2 linked regions of the Drosophila melanogaster genome follow. The protein of the gene in region 2 purifies or fractionates together with the protein of the main gene of each other region. This does not show direct contact. Each region holds a gene or a part of one and is shown on either strand. Other genes may lie near its edges.

Evidence for each region. Proteins that work in one complex are often made in the same cells at the same time.
Region 1: the proteins of Tab2 (region 2) and trbd purify together in Drosophila melanogaster (affinity purification with western blotting, with the first as the bait; one study listed by BioGRID). This does not show direct contact.

The regions. Positions count from the first base shown.
Region 1 is NT_033777.3:9,705,972-9,716,015, reverse strand, and holds trbd (trabid), read left to right. Parts: upstream 1-4,978; 5' UTR 4,979-5,535; intron 5,536-6,467; 5' UTR 6,468-6,500; coding exon 6,501-6,628; intron 6,629-6,691; coding exon 6,692-7,280; intron 7,281-7,340; coding exon 7,341-7,548; intron 7,549-7,604; coding exon 7,605-8,331; intron 8,332-8,396; coding exon 8,397-8,641; intron 8,642-8,697; coding exon 8,698-8,909; intron 8,910-8,975; coding exon 8,976-9,124; intron 9,125-9,189; coding exon 9,190-9,268; 3' UTR 9,269-10,020; downstream 10,021-10,044. Other genes in the region: hyd (hyperplastic discs), read left to right, coding at 1-25, 86-292, 348-495, 562-792, 852-1,064; dmt (dalmatian), read right to left, coding at 1,889-2,149, 2,435-4,266, 4,326-4,806. UniProt on the Drosophila melanogaster protein: Positive regulator of the Wnt signaling pathway. Specifically cleaves 'Lys-63'-linked ubiquitin chains. May act by deubiquitinating APC protein, a negative regulator of Wnt-mediated transcription.
Region 2 is NT_033778.4:19,286,570-19,297,457, reverse strand, and holds the start of Tab2 (TAK1-associated binding protein 2), read right to left. Parts: upstream 4,930-10,888; 5' UTR 4,598-4,929; intron 1-4,597. Other genes in the region: mip40 (Myb-interacting protein 40), read left to right, coding at 5,361-6,164; Fkbp12 (FK506-binding protein 12kD), read right to left, coding at 6,722-6,940, 7,002-7,072, 7,233-7,269; AANATL4 (arylalkylamine N-acetyltransferase-like 4), read right to left, coding at 7,658-8,332; AANATL6 (arylalkylamine N-acetyltransferase-like 6), read right to left, coding at 8,807-9,475; CG10474 (uncharacterized protein), read left to right, coding at 10,860-10,888.

The DNA.
Region 1 (10,044 bases), on a different chromosome or scaffold from region 2:
TTAATGCATTTAGAAATATTGGAAGGTAAGCTAAGTGCTCCCTTATTCGATTCACTGCTTTAACGCCGCCTATCTCTTTTCTCAGACTTATTGGACTTTGTCTACTGCAAAACGAATTGCTTCCACTGTTCCTACAAAGACATGTACTAAAATACATTCTTGGGCGTAAAATTAAGTTCCACGACTTGGCATTTTTCGATCCAGCATTGTACGAATCTTTTAGACAAATTATTCAAAATGCCCAAACAAAGGAAGGCGAGGAAACTATAAATCGTATGGAGCTATGCTTTGTGTAAGTAATCCCACCTTACTTGATAGTTTAGGCTCTAAATAACCTGCCATTTCAGTATCGATTTGATGAAGGAGGAGGGCTGTGGTAACAGAGAGCTTATCCCAGGAGGGCGCGATGTCGCTGTCACATCGAGTAATATATTCGAGTACGTCAGACGCTATACAGAATATAGACTAATCAAATCCCAAGAAAAGGCACTGGAGGTATGGGCAAATATTGCGTAAAAATGTATAGCCTTATTACAACAAAATATTGTCTACCATTCACAGGCACTGAAGGACGGAGTTTTTGACGTTTTGCCCGATAACAGCATGATTAACTTAACCGCTGAGGACTTGCGTCTGCTGCTAAACGGTGTTGGTGATATAAATGTTTCGACACTAATTTCATACACTACCTTTAACGACGAATCTAGCGAGGGTCCTGATAAACTTTTAAAATTTAAGAAATGGTTTTGGAGTATTGTGGAGAAAATGAACATTATGGAACGCCAGGATTTGGTAAGAAGAAAGATGGTCCAATGAGCTTCAAACATTCATAACAAACACAATTCTTGCAGGTTTACTTCTGGACCGGCTCTCCTGCGCTTCCAGCTTCGGAGGAGGGATTCCAACCATTGCCATCTGTCACCATAAGACCTGCGGATGACTCCCATCTACCGACTGCGAATACTTGTATCTCTCGGCTGTATATCCCTCTTTACTCCAGCAAATCTATTTTACGCAGTAAAATGCTGATGGCCATTAAATCCAAAAATTTTGGATTTGTATAAGCGATTGGAAGTCTTTCCCATCTGTATAAGCTTCAAATTCATTTCTTAATTAACTTTAGTTTTTTTTTGAGTTTCGACTTTCGTCATATTTAACCATACCATTCCCATTTCGGATTATATATTGTTTAAAATTTATTCGAATTTGAACAATTTGTACGTAACATTATTGAACAAGATTGGCTCGGGTCATGACGGTCTTGCTTGACCCAACGTGTAGTAAAAATATGAAACTCCCCAACATCCATTGTAACCAATAAAACGGCCAATTAGGTAATAGGAAGCCTATGTTTTAATTATTAAACTTTTAAATAAAATATGTTTTCTAAAGTATGACTTATGCACATGTATATTTATCGATATCGATTCAATAGAAATTTGAAGAAAAAACCAATAAAAATAAGTCCACCTTATGGAAATTATGTATGATATAAAATTGACTTCTATTTCATTTGGAAAAATTTTCCCTTGGACTAACAAATAGTTCAATTCACAAAGATTAAGATTTTTCATTTATTTAGTTTAGTCATAATGATAGGCTATAATACCGAAACATCAAAGCTGTACATAATCCAAGCTTTTGATAATAAAAATACATGCTTAGCTTAACCTAGAATTGCATAAAGTGCACTGCAAGCACTTGGTTAGTTACATTAGACTGTTGTCCTTATAAATATTCGAGGAAACGCAATCTTCCTAAATACATTTATACACAAAACAATAAGGTACCACAAATAACTCATAAAAACGAAGCACATTAAATTAAAAACGACTACTTCCCCTTATCAGCGACACAAAAAAATATAAATAATAAACAGGCAATGCGATTATTCAATGATCACTGGGAACTTCTCCACTTCCTCGCATTGCTTGTTGAAACTGGTGACGAACTGCTCCAATTTAGCCTCATGCTCGATGTCTCTGCGTGGCCGTTTAACGTGATGCCGCTTCTTCTCCGGAGAATCCAAGCTCTTGTCGTGCGAGTCCTGCTCGTCCTCGTCCTCACTTTCACTTTCGATGTACAATATCTGCACTCGCTTCTTTCGCTTACGTTGCGGACGCTCCTTCACATAGGTTCGTCTGGGTTGCTAGAACAGGTTGAATTTTTAAAACAATTAGGCGCCGTTTGCCAAAATAAAAGATTTCAAATGTTGTATACAAAACTACAGACTTACGACTAAAATTTTTATTTGTGTGAGCGGCTTACTACCGATCAAAGAAAGACTTAAATCTTTGCGGCCCTGTTTGCTCAACTAAAACGTTAACGTCTCAGTTTTAAGTTAATCTAGCGTTATGAGGTCAGTGTCTACACTCACTGTTTACAGTGTCGACGCTTTCCCAACGCTTGGACGAACCCATTACATAAATCCTACCTTATCGGCAAATGATTGCTCCGGCTCGTCCTGGTCAACCCTAAACAATCCCATCGATTCCCTAGCAGTGGGTGCAGCAGGTTTCCGTTTCGCCGGTCGGGGCGGCGCAATCATAGTGGAGCACAACATATATCTGATGTCGGTTTGCTTCGAATGTGATTCGCCCAGGCAATCGGAACGAATAGAGGTATATGATACTTGTGGAAGCTCACCATCTCTGGGTCGCAGCTCCGCAAGACGATGGAGCTTATCATGCAGATTTACATTTTGACTCAGCCCCGTGAAATTGGCTGGCGAATCTTGGCTTTCGGTGATAAATTCATCGAATCCAAAGAGGTTTTGTGAAGATGATGTTCGTTCTTCCGTATTCGTTTCCTTTTCTTTTGGTATATTTTCACAGGGCAATATTTCGTTGCATCCGAAAGTATTTACTTCCGTTTGATTACGATTAGCTAAAGCAGGAGTCACTTCTCTGTTTAAGGACATACTGGTAGGAGCGATACCTTTTGAGGGAGTAGTTGACTTTCTAGGTATATCTTCACATGCAAAATCATCATCGAAACCAAAAAGATTCGACCGCGTTTGACTGCGTTGCGCTGGGGATGACGTCGCCATTGGACGAGGTGCCACTCTGGTAGGAGTGATTTCTTTTGAAACAGTGGCCGTCACGTTCTTCTTCCAAGACGGCAGTGTCACTACTTCTAGTATGTTAATATCCTTAAAGGGCGTTCGTTTCTGCAGCGTTCTCCGAGGATTCGGCAGGTGCACAAAGTTCTCCGCATTCTCTTCGCTTTCCTGGTCATTGATCGACATCGATTTGCTAATTGTGGGAGGGGGACGGTTCTCCTCATTCGAGTCGTTCGCATTTGAGTCATGATTTTGCTCGTGCAAAGGCGGACAAATGGATTCCTCGTGAGGGATGTTCTCAGCATGCTCTACCGGCGAATCTGGCACATAGACATGCCGACGTTGCACATGATCACTGGAGTACGATGGCATCTGGGAGTTGTTGAAACCAAACATGAAAGTATTGGGCAATGGTGAATCGTCGGAAACGCGCCAGGGGGATTTGCCTCCCGCGGTCCTAACTGCATTTGGAGACTGGTGGGCAATAGGCGACAATGCAGTGGTGGTGGCACTAACATCTGTCACCGGAGGAGCTCTGCGATTCAGCGGCGTGCTAACCAATTGTCGCGCCATGTTGATAAGTTCTCGACGTCTGTCTGTAGATGGCAGTGGATTTTGCGCCTGGGTCTGGTTAAGCATTACGGATCGGGCCAAATTACTGTAGGCTCCTTCGTGCGCTTGCTTAGAAGTGCTCGGCTCCACATGTACCTGGACGGGCACTTCGATGGGCTGCACGTATCCGTGCTCCGAATCGTTGCTATAATCTTCCTCGGGCTCGAAAATGGTCGATAAGGAGCGTGATGGCTTTTGAAGGCGCGGTTCTATGGACTTGGGAACGACCTTGACTGGCTCAGGCTCATTGTCTTTTGTCGAAACCTTTCTTCGATTACCCACAGGTCGGACCTTCTTTGCTGTTCTTTTGGCTCTCGGTTTGCCGATTTTTCTTGACCGCACCATTACGCAGGCCTTTCCATCCTTAACCAAACGCTGAATTATGTCTGCCGCCGGATCCTCCCTGTCACTGTCATCTTCGATCTGCGACTGCGACAGAAAATCGAAAACGTTGCGGGTCACCGATGATCGTGTCCTGGTTAAAGGCTGATCTCTGTGGAAGAAACGAGGTGGTTTTTTGGGCGAAATCTCAGCTGCCGGTCCACTAGGGCTTTTACTCCTTATGCGTTGCTGACATGGCGATGTTTCGGGACCTGCAAGTAGTTGTGCTTATCAAGAAAAGTCCATCATCCGCCTGGTGAGAGCCTCTTACCTGCCACATTTTCCTTGATATTTTGGGGTTGCGTTGATTTCTGTACCTTCGAAGGAATGTACATCGTCGAGTTGCGAGCCGGCTCAAAAGTGCTGGCATCCACATCAGGCGCATCATTTCGAGAAATTTCGGATACGACACCGTTTTTTACCTTAATGCGCCTTATTTTTACCACGCATTTTCTTATGCGACACTCTGGCTCGTTTAGGGCTGTCAAAGATTGTTTGTTTGATAGTTTCGTGGGACGCCCGGGTTTTCGTATTATCGTGGTCAAATCAGCTCCGAGTTTCTTGGGACGCCCGGGTTTACGTATTGTGGTCAAATCAGCTCCGATGGACAGCTTCTTGGGACGCCCGGGTTTGCTTATCGTTGTGCTTAAGTCAGCTCCGATGGACTGTTTCTTGGGACGCCCGGGATTGCGTCTCGTTGCGGTGTTCACATCTGGCGACGGAACACACGGCACCGGCCGTGTTCTTACCATTTTAAGAATATAATTTGTTTACCAAATGAAATTCATGTACAGCTCCCGCCATTTTATTTACTAGTATGACCATCCCCCGATCTCTAAGACTTGCCATGAAAACCACTGAACACCAGTAGGTGTGAAGCTTGACTAACCAGCTAACCGAGACACTTTTCAACACTGAGCGCCAGGGACGGAGCACCGATAGTTGTCGATAGGCGGACAGAGAACCAGATGATTGGCCTCGCAATAATGTAAAAAATAAATAATTAGCTGTTTCCAAATAATCCAAATTCCAAATTCCTTGCACTACGATCCACCGTGCGTGTGTTCGTCGCCGTGAATGTGTGCGGGCAGTTTCGTTTCACGCGCCCCAAGCAAGTACAGCTGAAAATTGAGAAGGAAAGCAAGAAAGAAAACCCCCCAAACTGAAAATCGAGTGAAAGTTTTCTCATCGTCTTTGTTTTGTAATTGTGATTTTCCTGCCTGCTGCCAGCGCTCATTACTGGCAATATTGGATCGACGTCGACATAGTGTCGCTGCTGCGGGCGCGGGTGGCCGACGGCGACTATAGCAACTACACCTTATAGCTACTATAATACTAATGCTATACTCGCGGTCCCTATTGTGATTGTGTTATATATTTAAATCGACTCGATTCGAATCGAATCCAATCGCTGTCGTGGTCGCAGTCGCATTCGCGTTTTCTGGGACTGCTGCAAAAGGCCTTGCGATTTTCTGCGCCAGGTACTGTGTAAAGACGTCGATGTGGGAAGGGGGGTGGAGGCGGTTGTGGGATGGTTGGGATGGCACGGGGCGAATCCCAATAAGAAACTAGCGCGAAAACTGGCATACCAGCGTACATACATACGTACGTACATCGCACGCGACACATGCCATACATACATAGGCGAATTATAATGGCAACAAATAAATGCAACCGACCCAGCAGTTGAACCACTACCACCTATACCACCACTACTACCAAAACCAGACCCTATCCAATTCATTCCAATCCAATCCCAGGCAACGAGAACCCGAAGGCTGACTGTGACGCCAGTGGGGGAAATGGAAATGGAGCCAAGGCAGATGTACATATCTGTGGATGTATCTGCGAATTATGTCTCAGGGTCAAGGACACTGCTTCTGCCTCGCTAACCGTTGTTTGACCTTATTAACGAGTCGGAAGTGGTGGATTCGCCGCTCACCGACTTTAGGGATACCCTTTCGGTTCGCTTATCCAAAGAATAGTAGCTTAGTAGATACATTCATTGGTAGATAGTTGTCCCCCAAAACGAGTCATGCATATAGTCTTTATACTTTGCAAAATAAGTCAAGGTAAATTGAAATGTCCTCCAAATTGTAGATTTCCCTGCGTACTTATAAATCCAATATTAGTTTTTAGATAATCTTTTTCTTTTGAATGCAACATCTCATTAACTTCCGACAAAAGTCAACATAGCTATACATTATTGATCAAACTCTTCGTATCTTCAACCAACTTCGACTAAAATGATTGTCTAAGCTTACAATTGTTCAGAAATTAAACTATTTTGAAGTAAAAAAGGCAGCCAGGTGGATTTGACTAGTAAAAGCATATTTTATGGGATCCCCTTACTTGGTGACACTCGTGTATCCCATATCAAATATTCAACGTATGATCCCTTTCTCCTTGGCAGATCAACTGCATTGGCCGGCTCCGCGCATAAACAATGTGCGATACCAAAGACGATGCGCAGAAATGGAAATGTGAAACTTGCACCTACGAGAACTACCCATCCTCGCTGAAATGCACCATGTGCCAGGCGTCCAAGCCGCTGCTCAACGAGGACATCTTCCGGTATGACAACTCTGACGATCTATACCTAATCTTCTGCTAATTAATACTTGCTAATTCTTGCAGTCTGAGTCCAGCCCAGGAGAGCTGCACCGTTGCGGAGGAGGCGGCTGCCGTCGAAGTAGCCGTAATGTCGCCCACACCTTCGTCCACGTGCTACTCGCTCCAGCCGCAGAGCCAGGCACGGCAGAGCAACGTGGCGGACAGCGAAAAGTGGCCCTGCAAGGTGTGCACCTATCTCAATTGGCCGCGGAGCCTGCGCTGCGTTCAGTGCTGCACGAAGCGCGGTGGCGAGGCGATAGAGCGTGGCAAAAAGGACATGGATAACGAGGCGGACGGGGATCGTGCAGGAGAGGCGCTGCAAGCCCTTCGCATCAGCGGCTCGGAGGAGAACCTGGCCAATAAGCCGGTTCAGCTCATCGGCGCCACGGCCTCCCATCGTTTGAGCCTTAGTCGTGGCATAGACGATGCGACCCATCTGAACAATCTCGCCAATGCGTCTCACAACCAGTCGCAGTCCCAGCACCGGCAGCCTGTCCTACAGCAGCAGATGCAGCTCCAGCTGCAGCCGCAGCAACAGCGGGAATCCTCATCCTCCGCCGCCGTCCCGCCGCAGCAGCAGAAGCAGTGCTATGTCTCCAAATGGGCGTGTAACGTAGGTTTTCATATCCCAACCAATTCGCTCAGATGTACTTAAAGTTAGAATTTTCCTTAGTCTTGCACTTACGAAAACTGGCCGAGGAGCATCAAGTGCTCCATGTGCGGCAAGACGAGGGAGCGGGAGATTAGTGGGTCGCAGAACGACTTGCACGCCTCATCCAGCCTAAACAGTCAGGAGGAGAATCAGCAACAACTGCAGCAGCCAAACGTGGATACCGTCAGCGTCAATAACTCGTTCAATAAGAAGCACATTTACCAACTGGGTAAGAGTTTTTAATGTGATTTCTCTGGGTATGACTAATTGATATTCACTTTCCAGGTTCTTCGGAAACCATCAACAACTGTGATACGCTGCAAGAGCGTCAGGAGCGCCGCCAGCGTCAAATCCGACGACAGGTGGACTGGCAGTGGCTGAATGCGTGCCTGGGCGTCGTGGAGAACAACTACAGCGCTGTGGAGGCGTACCTCTCCTGCGGTGGCAATCCAGCCCGTTCGTTGACCAGCACCGAGATTGCCGCCCTCAACCGCAACTCGGCCTTCGACGTGGGCCACACCCTGATCCACCTGGCCATTCGTTTTCATCGCGAGGAGATGTTACCGATGCTGCTGGACCAGATCTCCGGTTCGGGGCCGGGCATCAAGCGTGTGCCGTCCTACGTGGCTCCCGACTTGGCGGCCGATATCCGGCGCCACTTTGCCAATACCCTGCGCTTGCGCAAGTCCGGTCTACCCTGCCACTATGTGCAAAAGCACGCCACCTTCGCCCTCCCCGCCGAGATTGAGGAGCTGCCGATACCCATACAGGAGCAGCTCTACGATGAGCTGCTCGACCGCGACGCGCAGAAACAGCTGGAGACGCCGCCGCCGGCCTTGAATTGGTCGCTGGAGATCACTGCTCGCCTGAGCTCACGGATGTTTGTACTGTGGAACCGCAGTGCTGGCGACTGCCTGCTGGACTCGGCCATGCAGGCCACCTGGGGCGTCTTCGATCGTGACAATATCCTTAGGCGGGCACTCGCCGACACACTGCACCAGTGCGGGCATGTGTAAGTTAAACGAATTTGTTTTAACAACCGTCAGCTTATTAATAGTCTTGATACTCTTATTGTAGGTTCTTTACTCGCTGGAAAGAGTACGAGATGCTGCAGGCTTCGATGCTCCACTTTACGCTGGAGGACTCTCAGTTCGAGGAGGACTGGAGTACACTACTGTCATTGGCCGGCCAACCCGGCTCGTCCCTGGAGCAACTGCACATCTTTGCGCTGGCGCATATCCTTCGTCGGCCGATTATCGTTTACGGCGTGAAGTACGTCAAGAGTTTTCGGGGCGAGGACATTGGATACGCGCGTTTCGAAGGTAGCTATTAATTTTTACGTCGCTGTATTGCATTTATTTGATTGCCTTATTTCTAGGTGTCTACTTGCCTTTGTTCTGGGATCAAAACTTTTGCACCAAGTCACCGATAGCACTGGGCTACACACGTGGCCATTTCAGCGCCCTGGTGCCGATGGAGCCATTCACTCGCATCGATGGGCGGCGTGACGATGTGGAGGACGTAACCTATCTCCCGCTAATGGACTGCGAGCTGAAACTTTTGCCCATACATTTCCTTACACAGTCGGAGGTGAGAGCTTATTCAAATATCCTGTAGAACATTGTGAGCTTAGACATTTCCGTTCCTTGCCTGCAGGTTGGCAACGAGGAGTCAATGATGCGTCAATGGCTGGACGTGTGCGTAACTGATGGAGGCCTACTGGTGGCGCAACAAAAGCTAAGCAAGCGTCCCTTGCTGGTCGCCCAGATGCTGGAAGAGTGGCTAAATCACTACCGCCGCATTGCGTAAATATGACTTGCTCTCCTTCCGGACATAGACATGCTAATTAAACCTGTAAACTTTCTTTCAGACAAGTGATAACGGCGCCTTTCATTCGTCGCCCTCAAATCACACATTACTCCAGTGATGGCGACTCGGATGAGGAGTAGAGGATATGATGCGGCACATCCGTCACCCAGCTTCTGATTAGGATGCTGTGCATAGAATTCAATATCCTTATTTTGTACTTTTGGCGATCGTTAGCAGATTTTTGAGACAGGAATAACAAGTGCAGATCCTACACTCTTGCACTCGCAGCTAGCTAAAGGAAACTATAGAGAATACATATGCATATATGCAAGCAGTTGAAAGTTGTAGTTGTAACTAAATTGAAAGCAAACTAAAGGTTAAGTAGCAACGTACGAAAATAGATTGATCGACGTATGTATATCATATCCGTTCCCAAGTCAACGTTCGTTGATTTTAGTCAAATTTATTCACACTGGGTCGTCGAGGCAATATAGACCACATTTACTACGAAATTGAAGCTATACACTGGTAGATTTAATTACACTCACATGTGAAACAATCCATTAAATGATTACGTGTACGAAAGGCAGATGCGAATTTAAGCGGTGGAATTTGTACACCTATGTACGCGGTAGTTAATGTGAATACCCAAGCTCCGGACTTAAAATATTGCAAATCTCAATGTACTATTAAATTTTAAATGGGTGGCGAACACACAACATAATTATGCAGCGGGTGAAAATGAAAGCGTCATTGAAATGTTTATTGATAGTTTTTAAAACACTTTTTGGAATTATTATGAATCATTATACATTCATGCCTATAAATATAATATCTATAATTATATAACATATATAGAAATCCTATGGTTCTAGACAGTTGAACAAAGGGCCAATAACATAATGAATTTTATTCT
Region 2 (10,888 bases):
AATAAATAAAAACAAATAATAAACCGAAGCAAAACCATGTCAGCGAGACAAAATCTATACAAGAAATGTATAATTCATTCAAATATAAGCCACTAAATTAGCGGCGATGGCGCCTTAAAATTGGCCAGCAAAACATAAATAATAAATTATAATTGTCTATGTATATGTTTCACACTTTCCAGTTGCTGTTTATTTTAAAATCAAAGCCAAGCGGTTTTCGCTTGCGATAACAACATTTTCAAGTTGCTAAGGAAATTAAGAAGCCATTAAAGATAAACCCCAGAATATGATGAAAACAATTCTTCTTGTCTTCTGTATTTTTTTTTATTTTTTTTTTTCTCGCTAGTTCCATAAAATTCCAACATCATTTTGTGGGGTACTTATAAACGGATGAGCGGAACACGTAAATTGCGATCTGATATTTGAAAATATTTAGACAATTTCTCCTTTTTTTTTGGTGCCAAGGGGTCGATGGGAAGGCAATGAAAATTCGTTTTCTGTGCTCTTTAGATTGCTACGTTTTGTTTGCCAGCTTCGTCTGCCTTTCGGTTTTCCCCCTCGCTTTTCTTTTTTCCTTATAGCGGGTGGCAGACAAACAACAACAAGCATGGGGCGATCGACTGCAGACGTAAACGACCTTCACAATTAGCCAGATATATGCAGGGCAGATAGGAGAGATAGAGATACAAAGATACACACATACAGACGCGTTGCCCAGAATGCACAAGCCAGAAAATCGGAAATCGACGTCAAATATTTCGCAGGCCATAGTGTATATAAGAAATTGAGAGTACTCGTGTGGAATGATAATACTGTGCATACAAATGTATCTTCCTTCATATTCAAAGTACAGTGCGGTTCGCATCTGCAAGGATACTATCCAGATATCTGAACAAATGGGTTATTCTCAACAGGACTATTAATAAAATCACTTACCATTATTTTGTGAATAATGGTATAATTGCCCATAGTGAAGGAACTTTCTTATAAATTACTTTTATAGATGTACAAATATCAAAGGAACTACTATATCTTTTATGTTTGCAAACTGTGTATTTATGATGCATTCGATTTTAGGAAACACTTACATTTTCGCTACGCACTGTTTGCACAATATATGTATGTACTTATGGTACAGGTAAAAGATCATTTGTATTATTCTATACTTCGGTTTTTTATTTCATTCTGCCTTTTCGAGGACACGCAAAACAAACTTAAAACAAGCTAAGAGCAACAAAGACATGAAAAAAAAAATAAATAAAAGTTCGCACTGTGTGCCAAAAGCATACAAAATAAAAAAAGTTTACAAAGTCATTAAAATTATGGCAGCTCACGATTGTTTAGGTATTTTGGATTGTGAGGGCGTGAAATTTTCGGTGGGTGTGCGCACTACGGGAAAACTCTTGTAATTAGTTGAGCAAAATTTCCATTCATTAAAATGCCTTTGTAAAAATCATGGTGGCACGTGTTCTTCTGCCGATTTACATGAAATTGTCTTATGGGAATTTCCAATGATTTGATTACATTTCGGTACACAGATGCCAACAAACGAAAAGGCATCAAAATGTTGTTAATAGAATTAATTTTGTACTCTGTTATTTTCGAAATATTTAAAATATCTACCAAACCAGTTTTATCCTGAAATAGTGGCAGTTTTAAGACTTTTCAACTAATGCCAAAGCTAGCTTTTAATGGTTTCTATCAAATCTATTACTTTTGATTGATTTACAGCGAAACGAACGTGTAATCGCTCTGTCCATCAACCCAATAAGTCTGTTAATATCTTGGCTGGACTGGGGAATTACCATGCCGCCTTGGCGCCCTCGAAGACTTTGAGGTATCGATGCATATTGACCGGAAATCTCTCTGTCTGGCATGTCAAAAAATAAACATATATAAATAACAAAAAATCGCCAAAAATATGCTTGAATACAAAAATAATTGCGAAAGGAACTACGTACTAGATGGCGTCCCTCCCGCACCTTCAACTTGGTTTTGAAACACAAAACATATGGACAGACGAAAAGAACGGGAAAGGGAATGCGAAGGGAATAAACGAAGGAAAGAGGCAGCAGTAAATAACATGGAAAACAACTTTCACTTTGTCGCAAAAAAAAAAAAAAAAAAAAAACGAGTCGGAAATTAAATAAAAAAGAGATAGAGCAACGAAAAGTATGTGAATTGTGAAAATTATAAATCAAATGCAGAGACATGAAATGGAATGGAAGCAGCCACACAAAATACCAAAAGACGAAAAATGGAACGAAAATAATTTTATTTTGTATTTCGCTGCTCGCTCGCCGATTTTCTTTTGCTTTTCTTGCCTCGCCAATAATTTGAAGAGGCGTTTTGCGGAATTTTCTGCAGACGTCAGGCCTTGACGTCATTGCCGAATTCTAGAATTGAATATGGGCATGGGAATCAAACTCGGAGGGGCAATGGAACTTAGCGATCGCTATGGAAAATCAAAGTGGAACACCTCGCCTGTCTCCTCTGAAATAATAACTAATACACGGTATTCATTTATCGATGTTGGAGGCTTGTGATGAACCCTCCAATCGCCGCAATTTGCCTTTTCAAATTTGTGAAAATAATCGAAGCGGAGTTATTTTTAGTCGATGTCCAAATCCAACCAGGTGTGCTGCGGTTGCCCACGTTATCGCGCGACATTTGTGTCTCTTCGCAACAGGGGACATACATATGTACACACACATATACTATATATTTTCCTGAACTCGTCCCTTCCCGAAGCTAAATATCAACAAAATTGCTGGCGATAAGATAGATTTAAATTGATGGGAAAGTTTTCATTGAGATCGCAGGAATACACCGTACAGTAGTTACTCAAGTAGGTTAAACACTTAGATGTAAGATTCTTAAGTTTTGCTGATACAGTATTTGAATAGAAGGACCAACGTTATGAAAATGAGTCTATACGTATTAATCTATTATGTCAGAAGAGCGTTTCAGCTCTGTCATATCAGCATGACATTCAAAAAAGCTGTACTCTGTGCATGGAGTAAGGCAGTTATTAATGCGTGGAATAAGCACACAATCGAACGTGATTTACATAAACAAAAGGATTTATTTAGTTTCACCCATATAAACAAAAGGATTTCTAAGTCAGCTTTTAAGTTTCATTTGATTTGCATATTTGGTACATAAAAACTCAATTTTTCAAACGAAATTTTGTGGAACTCCAACAATTTTTTCTTTAAAACATACATAGTTGCTCACTATCTTGAGAATTTAAAATTTATAAAGTAATTAAATTTTTAGTTCGTGATAAACATACATAAATTAGAAGTCGCTTTAAACGTCATTTAAATCGCGTTTTAATTTATGACGTCTTTTGGAGACTTGTATTTATTAATATATTGCGAGATAAAGGGTAATTTTGGTGTTATAGCTGAAAATATTTAACAGCCTTGTCGCTCAAAAGCAGAGTTAACGCTTAAATACGGAAGAAGAATTCAGATAATCACAAACAGATGAGGGTTTCTCTCTCTGCTTTATATTTGCACTCTCAACTGCTGAAATGCCGGGAAATTCCCGCAATTACAAGAAAACCGCCACATAAACAAAGTCACAAAACGAAACAGCAACAATGATCAACACTTAAAAAAATAAATAAAATGTTTCTTGTTTGTTTTACCAAAACTTTTTATTTCCGAAAGTTACAAAACTAAGCTGCTAGTATAAATATTATAAAAGTTTCACAATTGGCAATATAATGCGGTAATGCGGAGCTCTTGAATAAAACTTGCGTTTTTCTTACAGTGCATAACAAGTGCAAAAACTTGTGAACTTGTTTTCTTAATACGAAACCAAACCGAAGCAAAAACAACGTACAGAGAGCGCTTATTGTTATTGATAGTGGGAGAAAATCTAAAAGCACACATAGCAAATCAATATTTGCACTTTGCGATTAGAAGCGCTTGGAGGGGGTTGAGTGGGCGGTGGGTGGGTGGTGGTCGGGGGATGTACCCGAACGATTCGTTTACATATTTCGAAAAGACGGCCATTTCGAGGGAGTTTCAGCCGTTATCAATAGGCGGAAATACGTATACGCATGTACGAATGGGTAATACAGTTACGTGCAGTCTTGCACAGACACACGAACACCAATGTGCAGTGCGAGTGCGAAAGAGACACGTAATGGCTGTGTTAACGGCACAAGATAAAAACCAGCTACAGCCAGCGTGGGTGCGAGCGAGAGGGAGGGAGAGAGCGCAAGAGAGAGAGAGAGAGAGAGCAAAAAACAGGTGACATTGGCAGCTACGCAATAGTAGATAAAAAATATCCATACATATATAAAAACAACCGAGATCGATTGAAAATGTGAAACGTTGGGAAACTTGGTATGGCCCCTCCCCCTTAAAAAACGCATTCACAACTTGTTGCCCGTTTGGAAATGTGTTTATTTATTGCTTTTATTTGGTGCACTAGGTGATCTGCATGTGTGCGAGTTGTTTTTCACAATTTGTTATTTGCACACAGAGCAGATCCACCCACACCTGTGCACTTCCCAATTGTATGTGGATGTGTGCGTGAGCAGAAGAAGCAAAATCCACAGATTTACAATTTGCATCCTTACCGAATAAGTTAAATTCTTGACTTTTCCAATGTTCCTTTGTTGCTCCGCTCTTTTTGTCGTTTGTTCTTTGACATTCAAATTGTGATTTCGATATTTTGGTGCTTTTCAATCTGAATCTTTTCCACTTTTGCCCCTTCGATTTCCTCGTTGGCTTTGTTTTCGTTTTTCTTTTCTCACACACTCACAACTACACACACAGTTCACGCAAAAGCTCCGCTTTGTTTTAATTTAGTTATTTATTTTATTTTTCGCAGTAAACTTAATTAAATGTATTTTTCACGTCGCTCTTTTCGCGATCACAAAACAGCAGTGTGACCATAAAAGGTGGGTTGAAAAGCCCGAAAGGTTTTGGGTTAAAATTACCAAATCGAGAAATACCAAATTTTTAAGACTTTCATTTCCTTGTTTTTTTTTTTTTAATCTACAAAAGTATTAATTTAACAATCAAAGTCTATTAAATATTTTTGAATAGTCAAATATTAATGTGTATTAAGTTTTTGTTTAAAAATATATATGTTATTCTTTTTTCTTTTCATTTAAGCTACAAATAATTCAAAGAATTATTTCTCAAGCTAGCGTTAGGCGCCAAGACCGTTTGTTTTCTTTAATTTATGGTATTTTTTGAAATACCACTGACTTATGTAGTGTTGCGTGGCGAAGTGGTGTTTCAGTGTTGTGAAGCGCCGTAAGTCCGTTTGATTTCCGATTCGGCATTCGAAATTGTTTTCCCTTAATTTTCGTGTCGAATACAAGATTTCTGGAAATGAAGACTGTGCCGAAAAAGAAGGAAACGGCCCTGCGCTTGCGGGAGTCGCGCCGTGAGGAGCAGAAACCAGAGACGACAAACCTGCCGCCGGACGACGACGCAGAGTCGGATTTGCCCATTCGGGGCCGTCCCTCGAAGAAGCTGCTCATCCAGCAGCAACAGCAGCGTCAGTACCAGGTAAAGCTAGATCCGAAAGTCAAGACGGTCACGTCGGGCTCTAGCGAGAAGCCTTCGACATCCTCGAGTGCAGCCGCAGCCGGCGCCGGAGGACGCATCAAGGCCAGGAGAGTGCTCTACAAGAAGAGCGTTGGAGCAGCGGCAGTCGCCCAGAAGGCGCCCGGCGAGACCTACGTAATGCGCCTGTTTGAGCGAAGTTTGGACCTGTCCAAATACCAGGATAAGACTCCTTTGTACCCCATATGCCGCGCATGGATGGCAAATCAACCCAAGAATCCAGCTGTGGGTGCATTTCAAACAGATGCTTCACTCACGGCCACCAAACGTGAGGACAACGGCGAAGAAATCCTGTCCCAAATTAAAAGCGGCGAGATAAAGGTGATCAACCAGCTCCCGCAGGCCAAGTCCACGGATCTGCCCATAATTCCGCCTCGTCTGGAGTTCAGCCAGGAGGACAAGAAGCGGGAAAAGGCTCTCCAAGGTGCCAGTACCTCCGATCTTCTGTCCTCCAATATGAACCGCTGGAAGAAAGTGCGCGGACACTGGATAAAGCATATCAAGAAGTATGAAAAGGAGCGATATGAAGTTATTGACAAGATTATGAGCTTGGTCTGCAAAAACTGAAGCGTATCTAGGTGATTTTGGAAGTGGTATAGAAAATGAAAAATAATTTGGATTAATTGTGCACAAAGAATTAAAAAAAATCCTGTTTCCAAATCGAATATATATGCAAATAAGATGCTTGTACACTTTATATACTTATATAAAATAAAATCAAATTTGTCAAGTAGACCACTTCAAGTCTATCAAGAGAATGATAAAGCGTTTTTATATTTGCATATTTTCCTGATTAAAAAATAATATGAAATGCATTTGTATTGCAGCACGGAAAGGCAACCGCAGCTGATTTGATTGGATTATCCCAAGATTTTTGATAAGAAAGACATTTGTCATTGACTTGAATAAATGTTTATTTGTATTGGTAGAAGATGCGTTCCCTTTGCGGTTAAATTAGTTCTAGTTTAGAGCTGTGTATGAAGTTATCATTATTATTTTGGGTTGGCAAATGCTGCTGGATTGTTCTGGTTCCGATTATGATGTTCTTCGGCTCGTCGCCGGTGCGCCGGTCCGCAACCCCCTGCGATTTGGTTTGGGGTATACACATTGGGCATCCTGTGCGCCTATTCGACCTTGAGCAGCTCGACGTCGAAGGTGAGGGTGGAGTTGGGCGGAATGACGCCGGGGTGGCCACGGCTACCGTAGGCATAGTCCGGCGAGCAAATCAGCTTGGCGCGCTGGCCGACGCTCAACTGGGCAACTCCCTCATCCCAGCCACGGATGACCTCGCCCTTGCCGATGGTGAACTTGAATGGCTTGTTGCGGTCGCGCGACGAATCGAACTGCGTGGAATTCAAGGCGGATCATTAGCTGGGGATGGCGAGGATCGGGATTCGTACTCACCTTGGTGCCATCGTCCAGGGTGCCGGTGTAGTGGACCGTGACCTTTTGGCCATTCTTGGGATAGGTGCTGCCTGCGGGCGGGGAATGCAAAAATGGATGTGTGTGAGCGGGACGACCATATTGTCGCAGGTATTTCCGAATTGTGCATTGCGAAAATGCACTAAATAGGTTAGAAAGGCCGGTAGTTTACGGCATTTCTTGCGGATTCTAACCCAATCATTGGATACTCACCATCACCAGGAGCAATTGGAACTACTTGTACGCCCATTTCGATTAGTTTTTTTCTGGCAAATTACCGAGCGGAAAATAAGCACGTTGATTTCAGTTCGTCGCGTCGCCGAATGACAGCTAGCGGTGGGCGATGGTCGGTGAGCGGAAACTATCGCACACATCAATTTGATTAATTATCAAAACCAATTGCTTTCCGAGTTATCGATAAGGACGTTTTTGTATTTTGGCGCGTCCGTTTGAATTGTTTACTATGAACCGAAAGAATAAAGCAGTGCAAGATCTTGCCTCTTATCTTAAAGTCCGAGACACATTGGTCATTGGTCAACTTGTATAGGTCCCCCAAAAGTGTGCTAAGTATTAAATAAACATAACTATAGTTATATAATTTATTTAAATTCCTCGACTCAGTTATTTGTTATCAACTGTCACAGTTTGATTGCCATCACTCGCAGCTTTGTGTGTGGGGCTGCCGGTGTGAAGATCACTCGTCCTTCATCGTCCTTATAGTCGGCGTAGTCGATGGAATAGATGCACTCCATGCCCAAGGCCCCCTTCTGGCGAGCGGAGTAGAAGCTAGTGCAGAAGGCCATCATAAGGGGGAAACCATTCGATCGGCCCAGCTCCATCAGGGTGGCGGCCAGGCGGGAGCCCAGGCCCTTGCCCCTCTTCCACGAGGCCACGCTGGTCACGTGGGAGTAGAGCGCCTTCGGGATGTCGTAGCGCTCAAACAGATTGACTTCGCGCTTGGCCTTCATTAGTAAATGATACATTCGACCCCAAGCGTTATCCTCCACATTCTCGAGCTTCAAATTCAATGTTCCTGCATTCACATTATCGGGATAACTGGCACATGCCAGAACTAGACCCACAATCCGGCCACCATCGTTTTCATCCAGTGCCAAAAGGCTGGTGCCCTCGGCGATTATCGACTGGTTGAAGGCGTCGTTGATCTCCTCGTTCTGCTGGTGAACGGGTTCGCCGCTGGACTGGCACAGAGGCTCCGATGTGTAGTACTCAGCCTCCATATAGGCTTTTACCTGTGCATAATCCTCTGGGCGCATGATGCGTATCGTGACGCCATCTATTGTCGTGGGAGTCATCGCGATCCGGAGCTAATTCGTTCTATATGCTTTTCTTAAGACAGAAGAGGACGCCGATGTGTACATGGCTTTTATACTTCGGCGCTTATCACTGATAATGGCTTATCATATTTATAGATTGTTTCTGTTTGGCGAAGAGAAAGTTGTTTCCAACGGCTTTTGGTTTTATTTTTAATGAAGTGCCAGACTGACTTATCCTTTTAGTAATAAACATTTTTCGAATATGGTTTTCTGACCCAAAATCTTTGAGGATAAATACATCGAGTGGAAAGTGATTACTTAATATCAGATTTTGTAATTATTGCAAGGTCATGTGTCGATAAATACATAATCAACACAATATCTGAACAATAAAGTAGACCGTTCTACATTTTATTACTTTATTTGATCCATATGGACTTGCGTTTCCAGCTCGACGACCTTTATCAATTGCCAAGGCCAAAGTAATAATTAATTAATAAATTATTTTAATTTTTACATTTTTGAGGCCAAGACCCGAATGTGGGTATGGGGCGCTGGTGGATTATATATCGGCCGACCCAACTCGTCCTTGTAGTCAGCATAGGCCACCGAATGGATGCACTCACATCCCGCTTTCATCGCCGACCGGGAGGAGTAGTGATTGGTTCCGCTGGTGATGAACAGAGTGTGTCCCCGCAGGCGACCCAATTTAAAGAGACATTTGGAAAGTATGACCAAGATACCTCTTTGCCTCATTGAGGGGTGAACGGAGATGACCAGCAGACTCAGGTAGGAGGAGACTCCGAAGCGTTCGAAAATGTTGGCTTCGCGCTCCACTTTGGCTATAAATTTCCTGCTGCGACCCAAAGCATTTGGCTCCATTTCCTCGGCTTCCTTGTGCTGCTTGGCCATTTCGATGGGATCCATCGTCTCCGCCACGGCAATGCCAACCAGTAGTCCCCCGTTGTTATCGTCCAGTGCCACTATGGATAGTCCCTGCCTGATCACCGCCAGGTATTGCCTATCCACTTCCTCCTCATGCTGCAGGTGAATGGGCTCCTCGAGACCCATTCCCATGGGCTCGTCGTAGTGAAAGTAGTCCGTCATGAAGGTTTTCACTCTTGGATAGTCGTCCTCCTTCATAACTCGTACGGTTATGCCATCATTTTGACTAAGAATCATGTTGGACTGAGCAGCGATGTTTGGTTTCCCGGCTTGGTATACTATGGTTCATTCTACATGACTGCAGGAGCCTTTTAAAGAAACCGAACTGAGTTATCTACAAATACAAGTTCAAGAACTTCCATTGTTTGCTATATTCAAGGTGGTGCTCAAATAAGATAATACGTTGCATTTCCAAAAAAATGAACATGTTGGTATTAATCTTTTAATCTACCGATAGGTCTAATCTACAATAAGATACAGTTTCTTTAAGAGGAAGAGGAAAAAATTAAAGCAAGAGGTAATCACAATTCTTCTGCATCAGCAAAATGCAGTATTCATGAAGAATCTTACGTGCTTTCGGATTCGATTCGTGCCTGTCCGGATGACAGGATGGCGCGTTCTTCTGATCCATTGTCCATCCAGAAAATCTCCTCGTCTGTCCAATTCCGCATAATTTCAGATGGAGCGAGCACGTTTGCTTCTGCAAATGGCCAGATGTTGTTAACTATTGGCAGCAGCGATACTGTGTTTCCCTGTCCAGAACTCGATACGTTTGGATATATTTGAGAAATTTTCAAACATCTTCATAATAACCTGTCAAACAAAAGAGAATATCAGCATAACTGGCACGTGGTTTTAATAATGCCTAAAATTGGTTTGCCAATTTGATAATGATAACATTTTTCGAGCATAACTTTTCTTATTTTATTAGCATTCGCATTCAATTAACATATAAATTAACATATTAAATACAGAATTGCTTTAAAGGTTATTCCATTATCATACATCAGTAAGAAATCTATAGTAAAATGTAAATTTTTTTTATTTCCAGTGTAGGTCATTTGCATATGTGTAGTATGTTGATAGATTCGAAACTCACGTGAATACAGAATCAAATTACTTGGTCAATGAATATTATTATGAACTGTTTTTTGTTAGCTTTTACCATATTTGTTAACAGGCTGATATATTTTTTAGAGTGCAAATAAAGTAGTTACTTAACGAAACATTTTTATTATTATAAATTATATATTATTATAAACTGTTATCAAAATCATCGCTGTTACAAAATAAGAATTATAATATTGCTTGCATATTATAATTCGATATATCTATTTCTCTCAGTGCAAATTTATGCGAACAAAATATAGTTTTATAATGCGTGCCTCCATTGACTTCGTCACATATAAAAAGAGACGATTCTCCGGTGACTCCCAGTATCAAAAATAAAGCTATGAAGAAGTTATTTGCGGGACTCGCATGCATCCTTTTGGTGGCATTACTACTTTGGTAGGTAAAAAAAAAACGGATTACAGTGAATTGCTTCTGATATATTCTGATGATTTGTGACAGGAGTTATAAATACTTTTCCGGACAAAAAACCACAACACCGCTCCTGCCGATGGTTATCAACACCTGGCCCTTTGCGGA